7 linked regions of the Callithrix jacchus genome follow. The protein of the gene in region 4 interacts with the protein of the main gene of each other region in a pairwise test. Links are inferred from orthologs where the notes say so. Each region holds a gene or a part of one and is shown on either strand. Other genes may lie near its edges. The genes, in order: RALBP1, CDR2, TRIM54, SMARCE1, CCDC136, TFIP11 and KIFC3.

What was found.
Region 1: the proteins of SMARCE1 (region 4) and RALBP1 interact in binary tests that used the Homo sapiens proteins (3 or more experiments, as listed by UniProt). The two-hybrid records come from large-scale screens. The link is inferred for Callithrix jacchus from reciprocal best matches to the Homo sapiens genes SMARCE1 and RALBP1.
Region 2: the proteins of SMARCE1 (region 4) and CDR2 interact in binary tests that used the Homo sapiens proteins (3 or more experiments, as listed by UniProt). The two-hybrid records come from large-scale screens. The link is inferred for Callithrix jacchus from reciprocal best matches to the Homo sapiens genes SMARCE1 and CDR2.
Region 3: the proteins of SMARCE1 (region 4) and TRIM54 interact in binary tests that used the Homo sapiens proteins (3 or more experiments, as listed by UniProt). The two-hybrid records come from large-scale screens. The link is inferred for Callithrix jacchus from reciprocal best matches to the Homo sapiens genes SMARCE1 and TRIM54.
Region 5: the proteins of SMARCE1 (region 4) and CCDC136 interact in binary tests that used the Homo sapiens proteins (3 or more experiments, as listed by UniProt). The two-hybrid records come from large-scale screens. The link is inferred for Callithrix jacchus from reciprocal best matches to the Homo sapiens genes SMARCE1 and CCDC136.
Region 6: the proteins of SMARCE1 (region 4) and TFIP11 interact in binary tests that used the Homo sapiens proteins (3 or more experiments, as listed by UniProt). The two-hybrid records come from large-scale screens. The link is inferred for Callithrix jacchus from reciprocal best matches to the Homo sapiens genes SMARCE1 and TFIP11.
Region 7: the proteins of SMARCE1 (region 4) and KIFC3 interact in binary tests that used the Homo sapiens proteins (3 or more experiments, as listed by UniProt). The two-hybrid records come from large-scale screens. The link is inferred for Callithrix jacchus from reciprocal best matches to the Homo sapiens genes SMARCE1 and KIFC3.

Annotation. Positions count from the first base shown.
Region 1 is NC_133514.1:53,411,178-53,414,168, forward strand, and holds the end of RALBP1 (ralA-binding protein 1), read right to left. Parts: intron 2,445-2,991; coding exon 2,178-2,444; 3' UTR 501-2,177; downstream 1-500. UniProt on the Homo sapiens protein: Multifunctional protein that functions as a downstream effector of RALA and RALB. As a GTPase-activating protein/GAP can inactivate CDC42 and RAC1 by stimulating their GTPase activity.
Region 2 is NC_133513.1:22,965,431-22,969,705, reverse strand, and holds the start of CDR2 (cerebellar degeneration-related protein 2), read left to right. Parts: upstream 1-1,475; 5' UTR 1,476-1,779; coding exon 1,780-1,858; intron 1,859-4,275.
Region 3 is NC_133515.1:87,714,420-87,717,274, reverse strand, and holds the end of TRIM54 (tripartite motif-containing protein 54), read left to right. Parts: intron 1-330; coding exon 331-426; intron 427-967; coding exon 968-1,201; intron 1,202-1,462; coding exon 1,463-1,485; intron 1,486-1,597; coding exon 1,598-1,722; intron 1,723-1,841; coding exon 1,842-1,933; 3' UTR 1,934-1,934; intron 1,935-2,221; 3' UTR 2,222-2,355; downstream 2,356-2,855. UniProt on the Homo sapiens protein: May bind and stabilize microtubules during myotubes formation.
Region 4 is NC_133506.1:92,638,896-92,642,612, forward strand, and holds the end of SMARCE1 (SWI/SNF-related matrix-associated actin-dependent regulator of chromatin subfamily E member 1), read left to right. Parts: intron 1-181; coding exon 182-283; intron 284-943; coding exon 944-1,154; intron 1,155-2,945; coding exon 2,946-3,154; 3' UTR 3,155-3,217; downstream 3,218-3,717. UniProt on the Homo sapiens protein: Involved in transcriptional activation and repression of select genes by chromatin remodeling (alteration of DNA-nucleosome topology).
Region 5 is NC_133512.1:118,365,540-118,369,039, forward strand, and holds part of CCDC136 (coiled-coil domain-containing protein 136), read right to left. Parts: intron 2,940-3,500; coding exon 2,646-2,939; intron 1,149-2,645; exon of another isoform or gene 811-1,148; coding exon of another isoform or gene 709-810; exon of another isoform or gene 704-708; intron 1-703. UniProt on the Homo sapiens protein: May play a role in acrosome formation in spermatogenesis and in fertilization.
Region 6 is NC_133502.1:197,225,308-197,228,807, forward strand, and holds part of TFIP11 (tuftelin-interacting protein 11), read right to left. Parts: coding exon 3,120-3,500; intron 3,003-3,119; coding exon 2,884-3,002; intron 1,305-2,883; coding exon 1,136-1,304; intron 737-1,135; coding exon 493-736; intron 1-492. UniProt on the Homo sapiens protein: Involved in pre-mRNA splicing, specifically in spliceosome disassembly during late-stage splicing events. Intron turnover seems to proceed through reactions in two lariat-intron associated complexes termed Intron Large (IL) and Intron Small (IS).
Region 7 is NC_133521.1:15,730,806-15,734,910, forward strand, and holds the start of KIFC3 (kinesin-like protein KIFC3), read right to left. Parts: upstream 2,801-4,105; 5' UTR 2,776-2,800; coding exon 2,554-2,775; intron 1-2,553. UniProt on the Homo sapiens protein: Minus-end microtubule-dependent motor protein. Involved in apically targeted transport. Required for zonula adherens maintenance.

The sequences.
Region 1 (2,991 bases), on a different chromosome or scaffold from region 4:
TCTCTGAGCTTTCAATGACAGATACTTTAATTGTGGAATTTTTAAAGCAAAAAAAGCAATGGAAACTTCATTTTTATTCTAGACCAGTCTATCCTAGACATGCTAATTATGATTGGCTGTGCTGAGTCCTCATTTACCGCGTGAAATGCAAATGTCTGTAAATTGCAATGCCTGGGGCCAAGCCAGGCCAGTGGACTTGTGTGCAGTTCCCACTAGAGCCAGGAGCGGCTGACTGCAGACCCAACCCAGTCCACTGGGTTTTGCAAACACGGGCTCCCTCCCAGCAGCAACGGCTTGTGGAAGGGTGGCAGGCTGCTGCTAGCATGCATGCCAGGGGCCTGGCGTGCTCCCCACACCTGCAGAGGTGAGGGATACAAAGTGAGCTGAAAACAAAACACTATGTTCTCCTTTAGCCTTGAAGAAGTGCCTCAACCAACTCCTCGGCAGCCACAGGGTGCTCAATCTCTTCACAGGAAGAATGTGTACAAAAAACTCGAAGCTTTTCTTTTTCCCAAATGGCTGTTGAATTTATTTGCTTGATCAATAATGGTCCTGGCAAAAATTAGTTAACCAATGTGAGACATTTGTAATGAAATACTAATTTAAAAAATCCATGACACCTTGATAGAAATTAGAGTTTACACAAACAAAAAAGGAACCTTCGATATTGCCAGCAGCTATAAAGTGAATGTACTGAGACCGACAGGACAGCAAGAAGGCATCTGCACATTTATATATGACACCCAACCATACTTTCAGTCACCAGAATATCTTCTCTCCAGATTTAAAAAAATAGTATGCTGATTTCTATAACAAAGCTTTTTTTCCGTACAAAAATCAAATAATGGCCAACGAGTCACAACAGTGCAATAAGTAGAGGATTAAAAACTGCATCAAATAGGTGCTGAAAATAAATACTACCCAGGAGGAGGAGGAGAGAGCCCTCGTGTGGGGTTTGTTTTCATCCCCTTGAATGTCTGTGGGGTTTGTCTTCCGAGCCACGAGCCTGGCCTGTCACGGTGCTGTTCACTCTGACATAGTGTGACTGCAGCACGTTGCCTCCAGAGCCCGGCCTCCCAGAAGCCTCAGAGCATCAGAGCATTCGTCTCATCAGATGGACCAGAAACAAGAAAATGGGGCGGAGTGAATCACAGCTATCATTCAAAGGAAAGGAATTTTTTTCTATTGCTCAATCTTGTCAATTGGGAGTCCACCAGTAGGTTCACCAAGACGATAGGGATCATTTCAAACTTTTGTTTAAAAGAATATATATGGCTTATTCAGGCAAGGAGACATGTACATTCTAGCCCAAGCAAGCAATCGGAGTCATTCTGTTTTTAAGGAAGGTCAGTCATTTAAAAGACTTCTGGTTTGAGCAACATCCTCTGTGGATGCACCCGGCCAAGGTGACTACCTTACCTTTGACCAACCCCGTGAGAAGGCCTTTATTGGTCCCCGCAGTGAGGAACCGGCGGGAACAGGCGGCCTCCTCTCCGCAGGCCTGCGCTGCCAGGGGCAGGTGGGCAGGCTCCACAGGCAGCCCCTGTCTATGGCCAAAGAGGCCATCCTGGTGACTCGGGCTTATGGACTGTGGTTTAGAACTGCAGAAGGAGTTAGGAGGGTGGGCCAGGGAATACCCACCAGGTGCCACTCTGGCCAGTCAGAGAATGTGAGGCAGCTCCCCCATAGGGATCTGCACCGAGAAGGTGTGGAAGGCACAAGCAAGAGTGACGGTACCAGAGATCCCGGAGGGCGCGGCTCGTGGCAGCCACAGCAGGCACAGCGCTGACCTGGTGTGGTTCCCCCCTTGAATGAAAAAGAGATCCTGATTCTGCTGTGATAAAAAAGCAAAGAAAGACAATTTTTGGTTTAAAAAGAAGCCACTCAAGGGTTAAAATAGTTATTTTAAGTTAACAAAGAAAATTAATCTTCAAATAAGCTGACACTATCTGGAAAACTCATCTGTCCCTAAAGCCCACAATGCGTCCACTGCTTCATCCTCCCACAGAACCTGAGCCTGACGCAAAGGAGTCAGACATGTAACAGAGGAAGAGTCTGAGAAGAGAAGAAGACACCTTTACAGAATGTACAGCGAGAGAGCCAGCCTGGCCCCCGGGTTACAGTAAGATGCACAGGTCCTTTCAGTCTCGTGGACTCCGGACGGCCGCGCAAGCTGCTCAGATGGACGTCTCTTTCCTGTCCCTGCTGGGCGATGGCTTCGCCGGCTCCTTGCCTGCCTTTGGCTGCTCTTTAGCTGCTTTCGGCTCAAGGACGCCGTCTCTGGGCGGCTGTACAGCAACCCCGCGCCACTCAGACTCCTCGTCCTCCTGAGCTTGCTGGTCGGCCTTGGCTCGCTGCATCTGGAGCAGCCGGAGCTGCACTCGCAGCTCGATGATGGCCTCACGCTCCTCATGAATTGCTTGATTCAAATGATTGTTCTTTATCTTTGGGAATGACAGAAAGGGCAGTTATCACTTCAGGAAGTCAGAGGACGATTTCTCAGGAGCAGACCGCAGTTAGCAAGGGCATCCTACAGAGCAATCTCGTTTTGTTAAAGTCAGTGGGTTGTGAAACAGAAGACAAACACAATGGGAATGCACAGTAAGCCACATGACTCTTCAGAATGTAAGGCTGGAAACCCTGCTCCTGGTTACAGGAGAGAAACGCATCCATGTGCCAGCAGAAAACCATTATTTTAATAATTCAGTATCCTAGTGTTTAAAATAGACAACCTATATATAATTTGGAAGTGATCTCTGAACAGCCTTTAAGGAGAAAATAAAAGTAATTTTACTAGCAATTAGAGAGGAGAGTTAGAGATCAGATAAAAGACTAAATTTGTTTCAAAGGTGAATCTCCTTTGTCTTTTGTGAATGGCATTACTTTAATTCTGAAATGTCCTACTCAAATCAAACTACAGAAAATTACTATCACTTCTAAATCATCTGGACACACTAGGCAAAGTTTAGGTACTATGGAACAGCAGCAGCC
Region 2 (4,275 bases), on a different chromosome or scaffold from region 4:
GGGAGGTGGAGAGACACCTAAATTTTATTACCCACAAGAATTATTTTGTTACCCACAAGAATTATTTAGGATGCGTTTCCCTCTCTTTCAAATTACCCGTCTTTATTCTTTTACACAGAAAGACAAAAGTAGCCTTGAGTCTACAATTCCTTCCCTACAATTTCCCTTATTTTTAATTGTGCAAGTATCTAAAAAAGTAAGATCACAGGAGGGTTTATAACAAAAAGTCCCCAGCCCCAACTCAATCCTCCCCTTAGGGAAACTCTTAATTGCTCCCATTTTCAGTTCTGGCAGCTCTCTCCATATTTGTGGAAACGATTTGTTGGATTATCAATGTAAGGTATTATCTGCCGACTCACTGCTAAAATAGATCAGGATTTAACTAACACTCCTCTCCACTTCTAACAATTATTACCTTATGTTCTAATCTTTGAATTATATACTTAAACCTCGATTTTTTTGTTGTTGTTTTGTTGCTCAAACTTAGCAAGATACTGGTTCTGCTGTCTTCCATCGGCTGCACCTTTGCCTTTACTTCAAGGTTGAGAACATTGACCTTCAGGTCTGTCATCCTGCTTAAGAGTTTCCGTGCTTTGTCTGCAAGATGGTGCTAAAAGCTTAACCCACGAGCAGTATTTGCTGGGTTTTGTCGGTGGAGGACAGACAGCGTGCTCTGCCTCGCTGGCTACCAAGTGCTGGGGCTGCAGCCTGTCCCCTCCAGGTGCAATGTCATGTCCCCAGATGCTTAACTTGTGGTCTACGGGTACCTTTTAAAACTCGTATGCAACACTGCTTGCAATTTTTTCCTTCCAAGTGGACTGCTTCGGGCATCCCTCCCCGCCCCAAATTCTCAAGGGGGTCTGGCACCCACCGTTTTAGGGAGCGTCAGAACAATTCCCAGGGCTCAGATATCAAGGAGACAAAAGCTACCGCTCAATGGGCGTTTTCTTAGCCCTAAACTCCCGATCGACCCCGAGTCTCCCCGCCAGATTCGGAGCAAATCTGAGTCAAGATGCGAGAGGGGCGAGCGGGCGGCGGACCAAGCGCTTCTGGCACCCTTGCGCCTCCCGCCGGCACGAAGGACTTCCCTGGACAACCGCTCAACTCTCAGAGGTCGGAATTCTAGACCCTCAGGCCCTCGTTGCCTATCCACGGACGCGCCGGCCTCGGGACACCCACCGCAGGGGTAGGACGCGGCGCGGCGGGCTCCACAGCCCAGACCCCAGAACACGCTCCTAGGAGCCGCACCGCGCAGATCAGGGGGCGGGCTTTCGGCCGCACCCCTTCACTCTTTCCCCGCCTTCTTTGTTTATTCCGGGCCCGACATTGGCTGCATGCCCTCGAGACCGGGCGAGCCGCGCGCCTTTGGAGAGACGCGATTGGGCGAAGTCGCTGCCGCTCGGCCAGCGGCCCGCTCCCGATTGGTTGAGGAGCCGCCGGGGGTTTGAATCGCATCCCCAGCCGGGGAGGGTTCTGCCAAAGTGCCACGTTGGGCCCGGCGGCGGCGTGAGGAGCCGGCTCGGGGCCCTCGCGTCGGAACGCCCAGCCGTTGGGGCCGTTGGGGCCGTTGGGTGGCGCGACGCGAGTCAAGGAGGCGGCCGGTCGGTAGCGGCCGCCGGCGGGAGCAGGGCTGAGGCGGAGTGGCGGAGCCTGGGCGGCGGCGCGTCCCACCCGAGGGCGGCTCTGGCTGAGGGCGGAGGGACCGGGGGAGAGCCCGGGGCAGCGGCTGAGGTGGGACGGCGGCGGTGGGAGCCGCTGCCCCCGGAGGACCCAGCGGAGATGCTGGCGGAAAACCTGGTGGAGGAGTTTGAGATGAAGGAGGACGAACCGTGGTACGACCACCAGGACCTCCAGCAAGGTGAGGGCGGGGGCGCCCCTCGGGCGGGCGGGTGGCGGCCTGGCCCAGGAGGCTCCCGATGCGGAACTGTTAAAAAGTTGCTTTCTCTGGCGGTGGAGGATGCAGGTGCCGGGAAGGGCTCGGGCGCACCTGGCGGCGGGGCCGGCGGTGCCTGCGGATCCCGCCCGCAGGAAGCCTCGGCGCGGGGCCCACGGCCCTGCAAATACGCAGTTCAATATCGGCCCCAGGGCGCGTGGGGGCCAGCGGCGCGCCAGGCACCGTTTTAAGCGCTTTCCCTGGATTAACTGGTTTAATCTTCGCTGCATTCCTCCAAGACAGACCCGGGTGAACCAGGTGCCCCGCAGTAAGTGGCCGAACCCGGGAAGCCGCCCCCTCGCAGCCTGTCGACCCCAGCGCCTTTCATGGCCAGCGCGGAGGGCCGGCCGCTGCAGGTGGTGGTGGTTTTGCGCCTAGCGGGAGCTGTGTGCTCCGCACGTAACGGAACTCCAGGAAGCAGTAACTTTTCAAAAATTTATTTTTTAATGTTTGAGGGTACATAATAGGTGTATATATTTATGGGGTACATGAGATGTTTGGATACAGGCTCACATTGTGAAATAAGCACATGATGGGAAACGGGGAGTCCATCCCCTCCAGCATTTATCCGTTGAGATACTAACAAACCAATTACACTGAAAGTAACTTTTGTTACCCCATTTTCCAGATGGGAAAGGGGAGGCTCAAATGGTTAAGTCGCTTGCCTAAAGCTAAGTGTGGAGGGAGTGTTTTTTGAACCACACACTCGGAATTGTAGTCACTGCTCAAACCCCATCTCTTCTTTTCCATCCTAGTTTACAGCTTTTTTCAATTGGGCGTTAAGCTGTTAGACATAGTTCACCAGATGCCAATTGAAACGGCAGAAGAGCCCTTCTACCTCTGTCACTTCAGTTTGCATGCCAGCTTTCACTTAGAAACAGGCCTGCCGGTGGTGTCTCCAGAGAACAATCGTAGAGCGGCCCGCACTTTGGGACCAGTGGGCCCCCCTTTTTTTCATACTAATAGGAGCTAGCAGTTGGGAAACACTTTTTATGTGCCTAACACTGATAAGCCCATAACACAGTTGCTCATTTAATTCTCCTGGTAACACAATAGAGGTAGTAATGTTGGGGAGTGCTAGGGTTCCCCTTAAGACTCCAGAACATTCTTAACCACTGTGCTGAATACTGAATAATCCTCAAGAATTTTTCCAGGCATCTTCAGTTTCTGTAATTTTGTGTAAATGCTTTCACTAATCTTGCAGTGAAAATTAACATCTCATTTAGTTGAATATTAAATGATCATGATGCTTGTTCATGCTAACCGAACGTGGCAGAAGAAAAGAATCTAGACTTGAATAATTCAGAAAAGGATAATAAGCACCTCTTTTGGAGGAAGATAATTTCTTAAATTAACGTGCAATCACTTTAACCAAAGTAATTCACCTTATTATGCCTATAGACTCCAAGCTACTTAGTGGTTGCCGTGCAGTGTTCGGCACCATCTTCTTTAGGTCAAAAAGACAAATCTGTCATACATTTTAACAAACCTGTTTTCAGATTTCCCCATAAGGATTGATGGCCTAGTTTGATAGTTTCTCCAGGATTTATGAGGCAACCACTGTGCCATTGCAATATTTCCCTATAATTTAAGCAATCTGTATCATCATAACTAAATATTTTTCTTTCTTGTATTTAAGAAGCATAAATCTTTAAGGGAATAGAGGGGGTAGGTTCCTTTTTCAGGTTATTTCCAGCATCTAGCATAATACTTGTTACATACTGGAAGCCCAATTTTAATATTTGTTGAACTGAACTAAAGCACTCACACAAAATTGTTTTCCATGGCTCTCTTCCATCAGGTACCTTACTCCACGCTGCATTCTCCCGCTGTGGGAGATTGTTAGGAACAACTAGCTGTAACACTTCAGTCTACTGAGAAGCAAGTGCAAGGTGTCAGGGTTGCAGGTGGAATTCTCTTTAACCTCTGATCAAAATAAAGTCATTAGCTCTTCAAGTTTAACAAACCTTAAAAACACAGGTCTGGGCTGGGTAGAGTGGCTCACACCTGTGATCCCTGCACTTTGAGAGGCCGAGGCAGGCGGATCACCTGAGGTTGGGAGTTCGAGACCAGCCTGGTCAACATGGTAAAACTCCGTCTCTACTAAAAATACAAAATGAGCTGGGCGTGGTGGCGGGCGCCTGCAGTCCTAGCTGCTCTGGAGGCTAGGCAGGAGAATCGTTTGAACCTGGGAGGCAGAGATTGCAGTGAGCGGAGATGGCACCCTTGCACTCCAGCCTGGACAAGAAGAATGAAACTATGTCTCAAAAAAACAACACATAGGTCTGAACCTCTTTACTGCCAGTTGCATTTCTGTGTTTTTCAAAGGGCTGTTACATTTT
Region 3 (2,855 bases), on a different chromosome or scaffold from region 4:
GGATAATCATCAAGAATTTCTTGCATCAGAATTGATGCAAGAAACGAATCTTCAGATAAAGCATCTAGCCCTGTGCCTGGCATCTGGTGGATGGAGACTGTCTGTTCCTTCCCACTTAGTGGTGGAGGGCTTCTTCTCTCCACCTCCTTCTAGAATCCCTAGAATGTGCTTCTGTACCTCCTGATAGTTCAAGTCTTCTAGAGGGCTGTAGATGCCCTCATGGTGGGTGGGGTGAAGGGGACAGCCCTCTTCTAGGCAACCCTGGCTGGGGTGAGGGGTGTAGCTCTAGACCAGGTCCCAGTTCTAAGTGCTGACCTGTTTGTGTGTCAGAGTGAGCTCAGCGATGGCATTGCGATGCTGGTGGCAGGCAATGACCGGGTGCAAGCAGTGATCACACAGATGGAGGAAGTGTGCCAGACCATCGAGGTGAGCCTGGGCTAGAGGGAGGGGGGAACAGCAACTGGCGGGTCTGCGGACCCCGGGCTTCCTTCCAGAAGAATTGCTGTGGCCAAACTGGTCTGAAAGTTTCTGGGGTCCTGAAAGTGGTGGGATGGGCTTTAGCCAGGCTGCTGGGTATGCATTCCAGCTTTGCCTCGAAACTTTAATCCAGTTATTTAACTTCTCTGTGCTTTGGTTTTGTTTAACCTCATAAAACAGTGATGATGATAATGGTACACCAGCTACCTCATGGGTTCTTTTTAAGAATTAAATGGAATAACGCAAGTAAAAACCAGGGCTAGGGATATAGACAGCACTCATTGAAGCTACTTTAAAACATTGTGTTTTTATTATAGAAGAGATCTGGGCTGGATTCTGGCTCAGCCACTAGCAGTGGCACTGTGGACGGGTCACTTTCTGTCTTGGTTCTCTGAGCTCCATCAAGTGGGGAGCAGGCCCAGTACCCTGGGATTTCCCAGCCACCGGGTCTCAGCCACGCCTTCCCTGGTCCTTGCTCCCCATCTTTCAGGACAATAGCCGGAGGCAGAAGCAGTTGTTAAACCAGAAGTTCGAGAGCCTGTGTGCAGTGTTGGAGGAGCGCAAGGGCGAGCTGCTGCAGGCACTGGCCCGGGAGCAAGAGGAGAAGCTGCAGCGTGTTCGTGGCCTCATCCGTCAGTACGGAGATCACCTGGAGGCCTCCTCTAAGCTGGTGGAGTCTGCCATACAGTCCATGGAAGAGCCACAGATGGCGCTCTACCTCCAGGTGGGCTCTAGGGGAGGGTGGCAGTGCTGCAGAGTGGCTGGAGTCGGGGCCTTGGCACCTGGACATCCAGGTTCAAGTCTTGTCTCTTGGACCTGCCTTGCCCCTACCACCTTGGGCAATTCACCCCCTCTGAGTTCATTTTCTCCTTAATGAAATGGGATGTACCTTCCCACCTACCCTGCAGGACTGTGGTGAGAAAGAAATGGGACTTAGCCCAGGTTGGCCCAGTGCTTACTCTCACCCTCCTTTTCTCCCCTGCAGCAGGCCAAGGAGCTGATCAATAAGTGAGTAGGCACAGCGGGAAGGGAAAGGAGGGGGCTGCGCTGCTCCACTGGCTGGGGGAGGGGCTTGAGGGTGCTGGGGCATTGCCAGTTGAGCCCAGTGTGGTTGCTGCAGGGTCGGGGCTATGTCGAAGGTGGAACTGGCAGGGCGGCCAGAGCCAGGCTATGAGAGCATGGAGCCATTCACCGTGAGCGTAGAGCACGTGGCCGAAATGCTGCGGACCATCGACTTCCAGCCGGGTGAGGGAGATGGCCAAGGGCCACCGGGACTGGGGTTCCGACCCTCCATGTGGGGGCAAGGCGGGCAAAATGGCAGGAAAGGCAGGGACTCCACCTCACCAGGCCTTCCTTGGGCCCAGGCACTTCCGGAGAGGAAGAAGATGAGGAAGTGGCCCTGGACGGAGACGAGGGCACTGCGGGGCCGGAGGAAGGGCGGCCGGATGGGCCTTAAGGTGAGTGTCCTGAGGGACTTGAAATGGGGCCTGGCTGGTGCACTCATGTCCCCTCCCCCGGTTACTGTCCCCCAATCCTCGGTACCACCCTACCCCGGAGCCACAAAGGTGCATCCCCCAGGGCGGAAAAGCACACTTCCTCCACCCCCACCGTACCTCCGGGTTACTGGGAGGGCAAGCAGAGTTGGCTGAGTAGAGGAGAAACCCACGTGGCGGGCGACCGAGTGAGCTGGGCTCGAGCTGCCTCGCGCCTTCTCAGCACCTGCTCACTAAGCCTTCTTTCCCAGGCACAGGTCTGCGCCGACCCGACTCTGGTCAAGAGCCTGCGCTAGGGTCGGGGAGGATCTGCGCAGAGACCGCAGAGTAGCCCAGCTCGGCGCCCGCCCCGGGAGGATCTTAATAAAGAACTCGAGCTCCCAGACCCGTATCTCCTTTCGCTGCCCAATCCCTCAGCTTCGGCTTTGGAGGCGACCCGCCACCATTCTGCCCTTCCTGGAACCTGAGACCGTTTGGGCGGGTGGAAGCCAAATGAACCCTTTTTGGGCACCTCCGTGATGCCAGGAGAGAACTGGTGAGCCCAGCACCCTTGGAAGAGGGTTGAGGGCAAGGCGGTGGTGCCGGGACCTGAGGTCCTGGGGATTTGGGGAGCCCTGGGGTCCACAGGCACCTGGCTGACCTGGCTGAAAGCCGCTCTCCCGGAGCCCCCCTCCCCCGCGCATCCTGTTCCCTTCCAGCTGGCTAGGGGGCCCCACCTTCCCACAGGTTCCCACCCTGCTGTGACTGCCGCCCCCCCAACAACAGAAGCCAACAGCTCTTCAGCACTTTTATTAAAAAATAGCCACGCAGAGAATGCTCTGGTGGCTCTGCCCCGCGTCCCAACCCTGAGGTGGGGGAAAGGGGTCAAAGTTTTCGCGGCCCCAA
Region 4 (3,717 bases):
TTGTAGTTTTTAAATCTTAGCTAGACTCATGTAATTAATGATCTGAAGTAAAAATTCAAAGCATTATTTGGTACACTGTTTGAAATTGTGGACCATTAAAAAATGAGACATATTTTCTGTGTTTGACATTTGCTTTAGAGAAAATAATTAAGTAATTATAGAGCCTGATCCTGTCTTACAGCGAAAACTAGAAGCTGAACTTCTTCAGATAGAGGAACGACACCAGGAGAAGAAGAGGAAATTCCTGGAAAGCACAGATTCGTTTAACAATGAACTTAAAAGGGTATCTGTTTAATATGTTAACTATACTTTTATCACGATGCCTGTTACTTTATTTTTCCTCATTCTTTTTTCCAAAATAGTGTTTTAATGAATGTTGTTCACTTTGAAACAGGGTTAACTTTACTATATAACCTGTAAGATCTTTTTTTATACAATTTTTCCCATCCTCTGGCAGAATTGCAATAAATTTGAAATATCATGGAGTATACACATATCTACTAGGCCTATAAATGCTAGAGCCCTCTGATATTTTAAACTCCCATACAGTCAATTACTTTTATTGTGATTTATTCATAAAATGTCTTCATTAGATGTAATTCATAGTTTGCACTTTACATGTAGACAAGGATATCTAGTTGGTAGCCCAAAATATAAAATGGAAGCCTTATGTATACCCCAGAACTTTCACTGTTTTGCCTCACCAGCTGCTCTGGAATATCGGATGTTATACAACTGCTACAGCAGCTTTCTTTTCTTGTAGACCCAAGAGTTTCAGAGAAGACCTAGAACCACATTTTTTTGCCACACACACAGACACACAGGTGTATAGAATATATATATATATATAGTTTGTGGGCAAGAAAACCAACTTTTGAAAGAATATTTCTGGCTCAAAAATTATAAGAAAACATTACTAAGAGTTCTGGTTTATTCTGACTAGTTGTGCGGTCTGAAAGTAGAAGTGGATATGGAGAAAATTGCAGCTGAGATTGCACAGGCAGAGGAACAGGCCCGCAAAAGGCAGGAGGAAAGGGAGAAGGAGGCAGCAGAGCAAGCTGAACGCAGTCAGAGCAGCATCATTCCTGAGGAAGAACAAGCAGCCAACAAAGGCGAGGAGAAGAAGGACGACGAGAACATTCCAATGGAGACAGGTAACCCACTAGCAACAAACACAAGGAAGTGCCAAGACTTTGTACAGCTGTCTTTAATTTAGATTTTTCTTTCTAAGTGCAAGTTTTCTGATACCTGCCACTGAGAGTGATTCCCAGTACTGAATTTGACATGATATTGACATTCAATATTTTAACCTTTATTGCTTACATTATTTATCAAGATGTAGTTATTGCTTTAAGATCAATTATCTTAACAGCATTGGTGTTAAGATAATTGTCTTTGGTGTCCTAGGACAGCATTCTTCAAAGTAATACCGATAGGCCAATTCTGCCCACCACTTGCTTTTGTAAATAAAACTGGAACACAGCCACACTTGTTTGTTTACATATTGTCTATGGCTGCTTTGGGGCTAAAACAGTATAGTTGAGTAGTTGCAACAAAGACTGCCTAGCCTGCAAAGTCGAAAATATTTGCTGTCTGGCTCTTTACAGAAAAAAATGCCAACCCTGTCCTAGAAAAGCCCTTACTTCTAGGTATATTGATTTTCCTGATTGAAAGCAGCATCCCTCAAGGTAAAAAATAATAGTAATAACTTGTATGAATAAAACTTATATAAAGTACTGATTACAATGATTATCATTTGTAATTTTGAGATGACCTAACCTCATAGCACTGTTTTGACACTGCCTAGTACACTGTGTAAACAGGACTAAGCTAAAAGTTGTTATGGAAAACAAAACCAAAGGCTTCCTGGAGCATCGCTGCAAGAAGTGGGAGGGACAGTAGTCATACTTGGTACTCAAATGACAACCTCCAAGTGTCATACTTTGTAGTCAGATGACAACCATCTGGAAAACATGTAATGAAATACAGATCTTTACCAGGTATTTTTGCAAAATTTAATCCAGCAGGTTAACATTTTAGATAGTCATATGTTAGGTTTCACTATCTGAGTCTCTGTTTTGTATGAACATGTTTTTTATCGTAATGAATTTGGAGCATGAGCACATCTTTGTGGTTAAAGTAAGAGCTTGAAATTTAAAATACTGATTTTTGCAACTGTAAGAACACTCTGTCCCTTGCCTCTGTTTTGGCACCTGTGAATGAGGCATGTCTTATGCTTACGGTTTGCAGGTCTTTACTCAAATTCTGTTCTCCTAGCTCAAGGAAAAACCTGAAGAAGATCGTATGACACTATTAGAGCCAAAAGCTCATGCTTTTAATTTCCTACAGGAAACAGTCCAGCATGACTTTAAGAAAGTATCTAAAAGATCAACCTTATATCATTTCTACAACTGCTTCTCCTCATTTAATCCTTAGCACTACAGACTGACTCTCATTTACTGTCCAATAGAAATAAAATGCAATTCACATGTGAAATTTTAAATTTTCTACTAGCGACCTATTTTTAAAAGTTAAACAAAACAAGTGTTTTAACAATATATTTTATTTAATTCAGCATATCCTAAGTAACATTATTTCAACACGGAAGAAACATTTTTAAAATCAGCTTTCCTTTTTTTAAATAGTCTTCAAATCCAATGTATATTTTATTTTTCTACACATCTCAATTCAGAAGAAAATTGTTATCAAAAGTATTTGATCTGCATTTATTTAATAAATTTCATAAATACAGCTAAAAGTTAGGTTTTCATACCCAGATTGTTCCAACATTCTTAAAAGTTCTGTAGTCACACTGGCTCATTTCAGGGGTTTAATAACCACATGTGGCTAGTGGCTCCTGTATTGGACAGCCCAGTTGTATGCTGTCAGCATAACTAGAGTAAAATTTCATCTTGGAACTGACAGTGACAAATATGTGATTACAGAGGAGACACACCTTGAAGAAACGACAGAGAACCAACAAAACGGTGAAGAAGGCACGTCTACTCCTGAGGACAAGGAGAGTGGGCAGGAGGGGGTCGACAGTATGGCAGAGGAAGGAACCAGTGATAGCAACACTGGCTCGGAGAGCAACAGTGCAACAGTGGAGGAGCCCCCAACAGATCCCATACCAGAAGATGAGAAAAAAGAATAAATGTTGCCTTGTTTTATGTGTTCTAAATACTTTTTTAAATGAAAAAATGTTTTTTGGTTTTAATGGTGTTATGTGGTTTGTGTATTAATTTTTTTCTTGTCCATATCACACCACCAAAGGCTTTTGGACCATTTAGCCTCATGAACCTAATGGCACAGTCAGTCACCCTTCTTAGTGTTGTGAAGATGGCCCTTTTCTTTGGATCTTGTTTCTAGCCCTCAACTGCTGAAAGCCTCAGAATTTAGATTAATTGAGAAAACACCCTCCTCTTTTAGAGAATTATCCTTTGATGCTGCAGAATCTACTGTTACAATGCCTTCCTACAGCTCACTGGGGTGCTTACCAAAGCCATAGCTTTAAACCTTCCCAATCCCCATCAACAGTTTCCTGAAAATCTCCTCTCTTGTTTACTTCTGCAAAGGGTAGCTTCTTAAAACTGTAATCATGTATGAGTATGTATTTGTTCACTTCCCCTTTTTTACTTTTAGTCAATGTCAGATACCAAGAGTTGTGTTAAGAAGTTGAGTGTAGGCTACAACTAACTATGCTTGGATCTTACCGAT
Region 5 (3,500 bases), on a different chromosome or scaffold from region 4:
GAAATAAACAGAGAACTATAAAATATTTCCCGGCATTCTGTTCTGACTTTTCTGGAGACTGGAAGTCCAGAAGCAGAAAACCATTCAGTAGAAGGTGCAGAGTAATACAGTAGGTGTTCAGTTCTATTTCGCCAAGGTTGAAAGACCAACTTAGGTTGCCCTCCTACCAACGCCCCTGGGAGGATCATGAGGATCACAGCTCTTCGGACCTCTTCTCTCTCCCAACAGAAGAGGGATTCCGTATTTTGCCATCCTGGGTAGCAACAGTTGTGAGAACTTGGCTCTGAGGTTAAACAAAGACAAAGAGGGCCCAGGCCAGCCTGGCAGACAAATGTCAGCCCATCAGAAGTGGTCAGGCTTGCCATCACACAGAGATGAGGGGGAAAAAGAAGTAGTGAGGCAGCTTTGACAGTAGCAACCATGCTGGGCTTATCCAAGGTTTTCCCAGCCAAGGACTGAAACTCAAACCATGTCTCTGGCAAGCATTCCAACCTCCTATGCATTATGAAGACATGCGCCAAGATGTCACAGGCTTTGCAGTAGCCCAAGGAAAAGTCAGAACTAAAACTCAGACTTGAGCATCACCTATTGTAAAATGGCACAAGCAAGAAGCGAGCAGCTGGGAGAAAAGGGAAAGAGGAGAGGCCAGGGCAACCTGCACCCTCCCTCTATCCCTCAGAAGGAGAGGAAGCAATACCAGTACCTGCATTAGGACGACGTCTCAGCCCACCAGCACCAGAGCAAAGCCGAGATGACCACCAGGCCTACAAGAGGCAAGGAGAAGATGGGGGGATCGGGGGTAGGGGATGACTGCAACAAACCAAAATGAGAAAGAAGCACGAGGAGAGACCAGGAGATGTGAGACATAAACACATGGATCCAACAGATAATGAAGATGAGAAAACAAAGGGAAAAGAGAAAGGAATCAAGAGGTTAAAAAACAGGTAAGCTAGAGCAGTTGCATGTCTTTTCTGCTGCCTGGGCCTTGGTTCTTTCCGCCAGCAGTCTGCAGGAATTGCAAAATTGAATGGGTTAAGCAGCAGCCAGGTCCAAGTCAGGCGGTGAGTCCAGTTTTCTTTCTGTCTTGTCATAGACCTCTCATATCTTGTTAGGCACGAGGTATCTGCACCTAGACCCTTCTTGTGACGCTGCAGAGAGTAAACAGCTTCCTTAGAGGAGTAGGGCAGATGCTTTTCCTAGGTGGCCCTAGGAAGAGCCAGTCTTCTACCAGGCCACCTGTCCCTTTGTTCTAGCCTGCTTTCCATAAGTTTCTTAGTATTTCGGGCTCTGGTCCCTTGGATCCCCTAGCAATCTAATGATATCATTGTAAGACAAAATGCACTGAAACAAACTGACAAGGGAGAAGGGCTAGTTCTTTCACTGCAACCATCTTCCAGACAGAAACTGGATTTGCAAAGTGGTAACACACATGCCCTAGAGCTGCCTGCAAAAGATGCAGGATCAGGGGGCAAAGGAATCTCTCCATATGAAGAAACATAGAATGTATTTGAAGTAGAAAAATCAGGTCTAGCTTTAGAAATGTGGCACCCAAGGTAAAGACATCTGTGAGGCCCTGAACCAGCGCTGGTAGAACATGATGAGTTGAAGGAAACATAATAATGGGAGGGGTTGCAGTGCCTCTGACTTTTCACATCTTAGGTAACGGTCCCTGGCACAAGGTCAACAGAGCACTACACACTGGATTCTTAGTGAGTGCTGAAGACCGAATTGCTGGAAATTCCAGATATCCTTAGAGTTGACTGGATAATCCCACCACAAGAGGCTTTTTTCTTTACCTCTGCTTAGGACAGAAAGAACCTGTAATGTAAGCTGAGGACTTACACAGGAAATACTCTAACTCTTTAGGGGCTCTGAGGCCCCAGTTAAGCCCAGGGCAAGAATTCAGTTGCTACATACCTGCGGAAACATACCAGTTACTAAAATATGGAAGTGTGTCTATACTACTGATAAGTTACCCCTAGCATCCTGGCAAATATATCCCAGGATACCTCCACCCCAGCCTCTCAACAATCCAGCAACTGAAGGGATGGTCTCCTTGGACTAGTCTATGCCCCTACTGCACAGATGTGAAACATTTTCACTATCACTCTCAGGCCCCACTTTCACATCCTGTGATATACAGAATCCAGGGGGTGACACAAACAAAGAAGAGATTATCCCCTGACACACCCGTAACAGCAACAACAAAGGTTAATGCTAACAGGGCACCATAGAAAAACTGAGTGATGTGCCCAGGCCGACAGAAATGGCCTGAAGTAGACTTTACACTGTCAACGTCCTTCCTGCAGTGCCAAAGAGACGGATGAGGGCAGAGTCCTGACATAAGGAAGGCAACAAAGGCTACTATGCAAATGAAAGGACTCCAGAGACCCCACGCTGGTTCCCAGAAAAGGTGGTCACTGGGAGGTGGTTCCACAGCAAATGGGGCTGAGCCCCTGACTTCCTGCAGACAGACTGCTCTCGCCTCCCGCTTCTGCATCTCCACCTCCCCGAAGGCCTAAGCCTTAGAGCGCAAGGCCTCTACTCCTGGAGTCATACATCCTTGGCAGGGCCACCCATGAACTCTGAGGCACCGGAGTCTAAGCGCCCACTTCCCACTTGATCTAGCCTTTGGCTCTGGTTACCTTTTTGCTCTCAGAAAGTCTGAGGGGATTGTTTTCTTTGGGACTTTCAAGGGAAGAGTTGATGTCATCTTCCTCGTCTTCATTGTCCTCTTTATTTTCCTCCTGATCTTCTGTGGATTTAGCTTCCCCAGGATCTTCTGGCTCAGCTGCTAGCTCATCCCCACATGGCTCCTTTGTTTCCTCTTTCACCTCCTTCTCTTTTTCCTCCTCCATCTCCTCTCTCTTTTCCTCCTCTTTTGCTAGTCCATCTAATTTCATCTGGCTGGCCTTGTAGTACAGCACCACCTCCAGACTCTGTGGGTGGGAGGTAGGGCAGGATGGGGGCTGCATTACCTGTGAAGCTCCTAACCTCATGACAAAGCTGTACTAGCTCAAGGAAACATGACTTCCAGCATGTCACAGTGCAAGGGTGTGGCCCGGTGGTCTGGGACTGCGAGCCAATCCTCCTGAGCATATATAGAGATCATACCTCACCTCTCAGGACACTATGTCTGGCCATTAAGCCATGTCAGACAGCTGCCAGAACTAATGAGTCTTGGGCTCTGCACCTAAATTGTCTTTTCCTACCCTTATGGTGACTCTTCTTTTACCCAATCCTCTTTTACTTATTAGTACACAACTATTTTTAACAAATGCTTCCCTCTTCATCTGTTTGGTACTTCTCTTGGGCATGCAACCCAGGAAGAACAGGGGCCCCAGCAAATGGGGCTGGGTGAAATGAAATAGCTGTCCAGCCTAGGGGCTGTGGTCCTTTGGGGCTGAACCTCCCAATGTGAGTTGTCTGTGTTCCACCCGCCCAATCGCTTCACAGGAAAATGGAGCACCCACTTTCCATTAAGATGGGAACCACTGTAG
Region 6 (3,500 bases), on a different chromosome or scaffold from region 4:
ACAGGCGCATGCCACCATGCCTGGCTAGTTTTTGTGTTTTTGGTAAAGATGGGGTTGCACCATGTTGCTCAGGCTTTAACCTGCTTTTAAAGGTAAAATTTAAGCTCTTAACATAGCAATTCTTAAATAATTTTTCTTTTTTGCTAACCCAGAAATAACTCCCATAACCTGAGTAAAATACAACGAAAATTTCAGAACTCCAATGGCTGTCCTGTTACCAGAAGCCAAAGCCAAGCAGGAAAGCCACAAGGCACAGAGTCCAATATTATCACTGTTGACTATTAGTCACTGTTGTAAATAAACAGTAGAAAGGACCCAAGTTACACTTTATGTTCAGCCTCTGCACAAAAGGGTAGCTTTTCACAGTGAGGAATACTGTGTGCTAAGCACTTTCACAAACGCAAAGGCTATGTTTTAAATTATCACTGCTGACCACAGAAACCAGGGTACCAAAGCTGCTGGATGTGGAATGTATTTTCCCCAAATCCTTACCCAGCTTGGGCACTATGTTTTTGACCATGAATGCTTCCCAGGAGCCAGGAGTGAAGACATCCTTCCAGGGCTGGAGGATGAGCTTGGCAGAGGAGTCACTGGGGTGCCACTTCTGCAGGGCGCTGGACAGCTTGCTACGGATGGGGGAATACAGCGGCTCCAGCCGTGCCTGCATGAGGGGCAGCCACGGGTGGATCCAAGAGTGGATGGGAACGGTGTCTGTGAGTGGGTTCCAGTTTTCCACCTGCAAAGCAGGGAGAAGAAACAGTTCATGCTGCCTGCGGGGCAGTCACATGCATCCCTTAGTTAAAGGCAAGAGCTGCCCTTGGAGGAGCAGGCCTCATGCTCTTCTAGACAAGGTCTACAGTCCTTTGTACGTTGCCAAACAAGTATGCCCATTCATTTGTATTACATCTCAGAAATAGCACAATTCTAATTTTAGTGAATAAATCAAGAAAATGAATTCTTTCCTGAGGGTGGCTTGGGGGAAAAAGTGCTGAGAAAAAGGCTGAAATTAACACTATAGATCAATAGCTGGGTTGACAAATTCTGTTAATTCCAGGCATTTTAACAGCACTGAGATAAGACATAGACTGTCCCTGTGGTTAGTGACGACAGCTGTTTCCCATGACTCTCACCCCACCTCCTTCTGCAGCTTGGGGAAGATGAGTTGGTCCAGTATGTTATCTAAGATCCACACAGGAATAATGTGCACCCAACTATCGAGAAAGTCCACCATCGGGTCACAGTTTCTTGGCTGCCACTGGGTGACAATATTTCGAACAAAAGGCATCCAGACTTCCCATATCAACCTATGGGAGAAAGGCAGAGGACGGGCTAGTTAATTACACTGATTGTTTTCAAGTACACCACCACCACCTGCCTCTCTAGAATCAGAAACAAAAATGCAACAGCATGGAAATCCAATGAAAGGAAACCGTCAGGCCAGTTACTATACTGGCCAGACCTGAGGCTGCCTCTTCCTTGTTTTTGTGACTGTCCTCTCAACCTGAGACCTCAGTCTCCTAAGTAGTGCCCGCCCACCTGGCAGAGCTGCCTTAGGGTCACAAGGGCCTCTTCCCAGGTATCAAGTGCTTTCCCACCTATAGACTTCTGTCCATCAGCTCACTCCTCACCCTCTAATATCACAGCTTCAATGTCACCTCCTCTAAGACCACTGTCCCAATCCCCATCTCAAGTAGGTCACTTCTGCAATTCTCTACTGTAGTACCTGGTGTGCATCCCGCCTTTATTTGCTCACTACCTTATTTCCCATCTGCCTTTTCTGCTGTGCTGTAGAAAGGCTGTCTGCTGTACTCCTAAGGTAAGCCCAGCACCTAACACAAGCATGATACTCAACAAATATTTGACAAGCGTCAGCTGAATTCATGGCCATATGTAATAGTGTAACCACTATGGAAAACAGTGTGGAGATTACTTAAAGGACTAAAAGTACTTCCACCATTTGATCCAGCAATCCCACTACTGGGTATCTACCCAGAGGAAAAGAAGTCATGGCTGGGTGTGGTGGCTCACACCTGTAATCCTAGCACTTTGGGAGGCTGAGATGGGCAGATCATGATGTCAAAAGATAGAGACCACCCTGGCCAATATGGTGAAACCCTGTCTCTACTAAAAACACAAAAATTAGCTGGGCGTGGTGGTGTGCCCCTGCAGTCGCAGCTACTCGGGAGGCTAAGGCAGGAAAATCTCTTGAACCCAGGAGGCAGAAGTTGCAGTGAGCTGAGATAGCACCACTGCCCTCCAGGCTGGTGACAGAACGAGACTCCATCTCAAAAAAGTCATTATATGAAAAAGATACCTGCTCAGACAAGTATCTATGCACCTATATATACACATACACATGTACAGATGTGTGTATGTGTATATATAGTGGAATACTACTCAGCCATAAAAAGGAAACAATGGCATTCACAGCAACCTGGATAGGACTGGAGACTATTACTCTAAGTGAAGAAGTAACTCAGGAATGGAAAACCAAACATCATATGTTCTCACTCTTAAGTGGGAGCTAAGCTATGAGGATGCAAAGGCATAAGAATGACACAGTGGACTCCGGGGACTCGGGGAAAGGGTGGGAAGGGGGTGAGGGATAAAAGACCACAAACTGGGTTCAGTGTACAGTGCTCGGGTGATGGGTGCACCAAAACCTCACGAATCTCCACTAAAGAACTTACTCATGTAACCTTATACCACCTGTTCCCCAATAACCTATGGAAATAAAAAAATTAAAAAAAAATGATTTCATGGCCAAATGAATGTAAATTCCTAAACAGTGTCAGCATGAGCAGAGAATTAATAAGGCCAGCAGCAATCCTTCCCAACCCCCAGGAGAAAGGAGCTGGAGTGCAGAGCCCTGCCCTGCAGTACCTGTGAAAGGCATCTGCGGAGAGGTCCTGTCCGCCATGGGACAAGAGCTGGTCATTCTCTAGGAGGCTTTTCCATTTGGAGATGATCTCGGTGCCGTAAGTGCAGTCCTGGGGAGAGAGCTGGAGCAGATGAGGGGCAGCGGGCTCTCCAGCCCTCCCTGCCCACCAGACCATCTCATCATGCAAGGGCAAGCCCAACCGAGAGGCAGGGAGAGGTTGATTTTCCCAACAACTCACTTTGAGGGGATCCCACTCCTTGAAGTACTCCTTCATGAGTGGATAGACGATAGCCACGGCAAGGTCCACACGGTCAGACATCCTGTACTCCTCATAGTACTTGTCCTGCAGGGTTTCAAAGATGCGGGCGCACTCGTCCAGGGTGAGGGGGTTGCTGCAGTCGGGCTGCATCCGCCGCTCGCACTCCTCCACCATCTCCAAGACCTTGCTGAGGTTGGAGATGACACGCTCCTCATGGTCCAGGACCTCAGTCATCTTCTCCAGCTCATGGAAGAGGTTGACCACCATGTCCCGCTCATACTGTAGCTGCCGGTCATTCTGGATGATCTCCTGCTCGGTGAGGTCAATGAGCAGCTGCAGGTTGTGCTCCAGCTCGGGCAG
Region 7 (4,105 bases), on a different chromosome or scaffold from region 4:
AGCAATAGCAGCAAAAACAATCCAATAATAATCAATCATTCAATTTCGTAATTCAGTAACACTGTTCAATCAGACTAACAACTTAGCCGTTGACTCACAGCCCCTGTCGTCTACCTTCTCTTTGCATCCCGTAACATGCCATAATTACATTATCTTATTATAACATCCCAGTAATAGCCCACTATTGCCATTTTAATAAGTCCAAAAACTGATGATTAGGAGATGTTTTGTGACTTGCCCGAGATCACACAGACAGTATAAAGAGAGTTCAGATCCCAACACCAGGTCACACAATGGTGTTCAAACTCCTCTAAATAGGCAGGCGCAGTGGCTCATGCCTGTAATCTCAGCACTTTGAGAGGCCAAGTCAGGCAGATAGCCTGAGGTCAGGAGTTTGAGACCAGCCTGGACAACATAGTGAAACCCCATCTCTACTAAAAATACAAAAATTAGCCAGGTGTGGTGGCAGGCACCTGTAATCCCAGCTACTCAGAAAGCTGAAGCGGGAGAATTGCTTAAACTTGGGAGGTTGCAGTGAGCCAAGATTGCGCCATTGCACTCTAGCCTGGGCAACAAGAGTGAGACTTCATCTCAAAAAAAAAAAAAAAAAAAATCCCCTAAATAAATATAGAGCACAGCCAGGCACAGTGGTTCATGCCTGTAATCCCAGCACTTTGGGAGGCAGAGGCAGGCAGATCACCTGAGGGACAGGAGTTCAAGACCAGCTTGACCAACAAGGCAAAACCCTGTCTCTACTAAAAATACAAAAATTAGCCAGGTGTGGTGGCACATGTCTATAGTTCCAGCTACTTCGGAGGCTGAGGCAGGAGAAGCGCATGAACCTGGGAGGCAGAGGTTGCAGTGAGATGAGATTGCACCACTGCACTCCAGCCTGGGCATCAAGAATAAAATTCTTCCCCCCCCCCAAAAAAAATAAATATCATACAGCATCTACTCTGTGCCAGGAATTGTGTATAAAATAATCTCATAGGCAAATCAGGGTAAAATATTTCAGATTAAAGGAGTTTCAATTAATTCTGAACCACTGGACAGAGATTCGCCCATGAGACAGTCGGAATGTGAACACTGGGCACTTCCTGCCAGCAAGGTTCTGGGCCGTGCACTTTACCTGCTTCACCTCATCACCACCTACTGTTAGCCCTTTTCACAAAGGGGGAAACTGAGGTGCAGGCTGATCCAGTGACTTGCTCAAGTCCCTTGCCAAGAACTGGTGGTGCTGGGTTCTGATGCCCTGATGCCCTGGCTGCATAGATACTCATCATTAGAAAAATGGTCTTAAAAATGGTCCCAGGTTCAAGCAATTCTCCTGCCTCAGCCTCCTAAGTAGCTAGGATTATAGGCACGCACCACCATGCCCAGCTAATTTTTGTATTTTTAGTAGAGATGGAGTTTCACCATATTGGCCAGGCTGGTCTGGAACTCCTGACCTCGGCCTGTAATCCCAGAATTCCAGGAGGCTGAAAATAGAGGATCACTTGAGCCCAGGAGTTCAAGACAAGCCTGAGCAACACAGCAAGATCCCATCTCTACGAAAAATATAACACAAACAAACAAAATCCCTGGTGCTCTGTGAGTCAGATCCGGGCAGTTGGCAGGAGCTTCTGAGAATATAGAAGACACTGGAAATATCTAAATTGAATAATCTTCAGACATGTTTGCAAGACCTAAAGGTAGGCATCAATACTTCACCCTGTGGATGTTTCTTTCCTTGGCCGGGCGTGGTGGCTCACACCTGTAATCCTAGCACTTTGGGAGGTCAAGGTAGGCAGATCACTTGAGGTCAGCAGTTCCAGACCAGCTTGGCCAACATGGTGAAACCCTGTCTCTACTAAAAATACAAAAATAAGCCAGGCGCGGTGGCTCACGCCTATAATCCTAGCACTTTGGGAGGCTGAGGTGGGTGGATCACCTGAGGTCAGGAGTTCAAGACTATCCTGGCCAACATGGTGAAACGCCATCTTTAAAAAAAAAATACAAAAATAGCTGGGCATGGTGGTTTACACCTGTAATCCCAGTTACTTGGGAGGCTGAGGCAGGAAAATCACTTGAACCTGGGAGATGAAGATTTCAGTGAGCGAAAATTGTACCACTCCACTCCAGCCTGGGCAAGAGAGTGAGAATCCACCTCAAAAAAAAAAAAAAAAAAAAAACGTTTTTTTCCTTGATCTAAAGGCAGCCTAGGCTGCGCGCAGTGGCTCATGCCTGTAATCCCAACACTTTGGGAGGCCGAGGTGGGCAGATCACAAGGTCAGGAGTTCGAGACCAGCCTGGCCAACATGGTGAAACCCCGTCTCTACTAAAAATACGAAAATTAGCTGGGTGTGGTGGCATGTGCCTGTAATCCTAGCTACTTGGGAGGCTGAGGCAGGAGAATCACTTGAACCCTGGAGGCAGAGGTTGCAATGAGCCAAGATCACGCCATTGCACTCCAGCTCTGGGCAACAGAGCAAGATTCTGTCTTGGTGGGGAGCGTAAAAAAAAAAAAAAAAGGTAGCGTAAACCCATAGGCAAGTTCTGGTGCAGGTCCCTTACCTGAAAGCCATAGCCTCGTGTCTCTGAGATCAGGATGCTCCCTGGGGAGGGGGATTGGAGTTCAGCAAGAATATCTTCCTTGGAGGTGGTGGAGCTGGGCCAGTGCCAGCAGGGGGCCTCCTCCTGGCCTGTGCTGGAGTCTCTGTCCCACTCTCCCCGCCGCCCCCTCCGCAGGGCCCAGGTGTTCGAACAGAGCCACACCAGGGCTGGAACGGCAAACATGGCAGCCTGCAGCCCGTCTCGCTCTGACAGGCTGTGGGAGCACAGTCTTCTACTCTGGAGCCCACAGCAGCCTGTGCCCTGGAATTTTCTACTTGGTTCTCCAATTCCTAGCTGGACCCTGCAGCAGCTGTGGTGTTGAACAAGGAAGGCATTCAGTCATTAGCTCAGCATTTAAAAGGCTTTGAGGACAGGGTCTTCAGTTTCCAGGGACTGACCCAAGTCACCAGCAGGGTTCTTGAAATGTTGCCCTTTCGGTCATTTAGCCAGCGCGTCTCCTCTGCAGCCCATACGGTCTTGAGAAGAATTAGAATTTTTATAGCAGGGAGACAAAAATTAAGTGAACTAGGCTCCTGACAGCCAAGTGGGAATTCAAGACGTCCAAATTGAAACTTTGATTTTCATTCCCCACAAATCTGGTTTCTCCTCCAGCCTTCTCATTCCAGCTAATAGCACCTGCATCCTTTCTGGATGACTCCAAGCACACGGCAGGCATCATGGACTCTGGTTCACACCCTACATCCTCTCAGTTACAATTCCTGCTGGCTCAACCTTCAGATATGACCCAGAATCTGCCCACTTCTCATCACCGCCACTGTCCCGCCGTCCCTCCCTCTACTCCCGCAATAGTCCTTGACCCGCTGTAATCACCTCCCAACTCAGTGGCCTGAGTGACCCTGTTAAAACCAAAAGCAATCACCTCACTCTGCCCAACGCCGTCCGTGCCACTCTTGTGGCAAGATGGTGGCAAGAGCACCCCTCCTGCAGTTCCGGAAGCCAAAATTGTGTTGCTGAAAGATCCTTTGTCTCAGGGCTGATTTTTCTTTGCGGCACCGAGCATCTATTTCCAACATCTATTCCCAACAGCTCCCATATCGCTTCCAGTAAAAACTAAGGTTTTGCAGTGGCACCCAAGCCCTCTCTGCTCCAAGCCTCCTATCCCTCCCGACACCTTTGCTCTGCTCCCAAAATCTGCCAGACAGCCCCAGGGCCTTCGCATGGGTTCTTCCACCTTGGACACTCTCTGCCCAGATATCCACAGGGCTCCCTCCCTCCCTCCCTCCACACCTGCTCAGGTGCCTGTTCCTCAAGAAGACTCTCCCTGATCTCCTCAGTTAAAACCACAGCTCACTCCTCCTCTTCCACCTCTGCCCCAGCTCTTGGCACCCCTTACTCTGCTGTCTGGGTGGTTCATTTTTCTTTTTAGTCGTCGCATTTAACACCTTCCAACAGACAAAATGTCCATGTATTTTCGTGCCTGTTATTATTCCCTCTTTTCCTCTATGAGGGAGACTCGCCTCTGAGAGGTGGAGATCTTTTTTCCATATTGTTT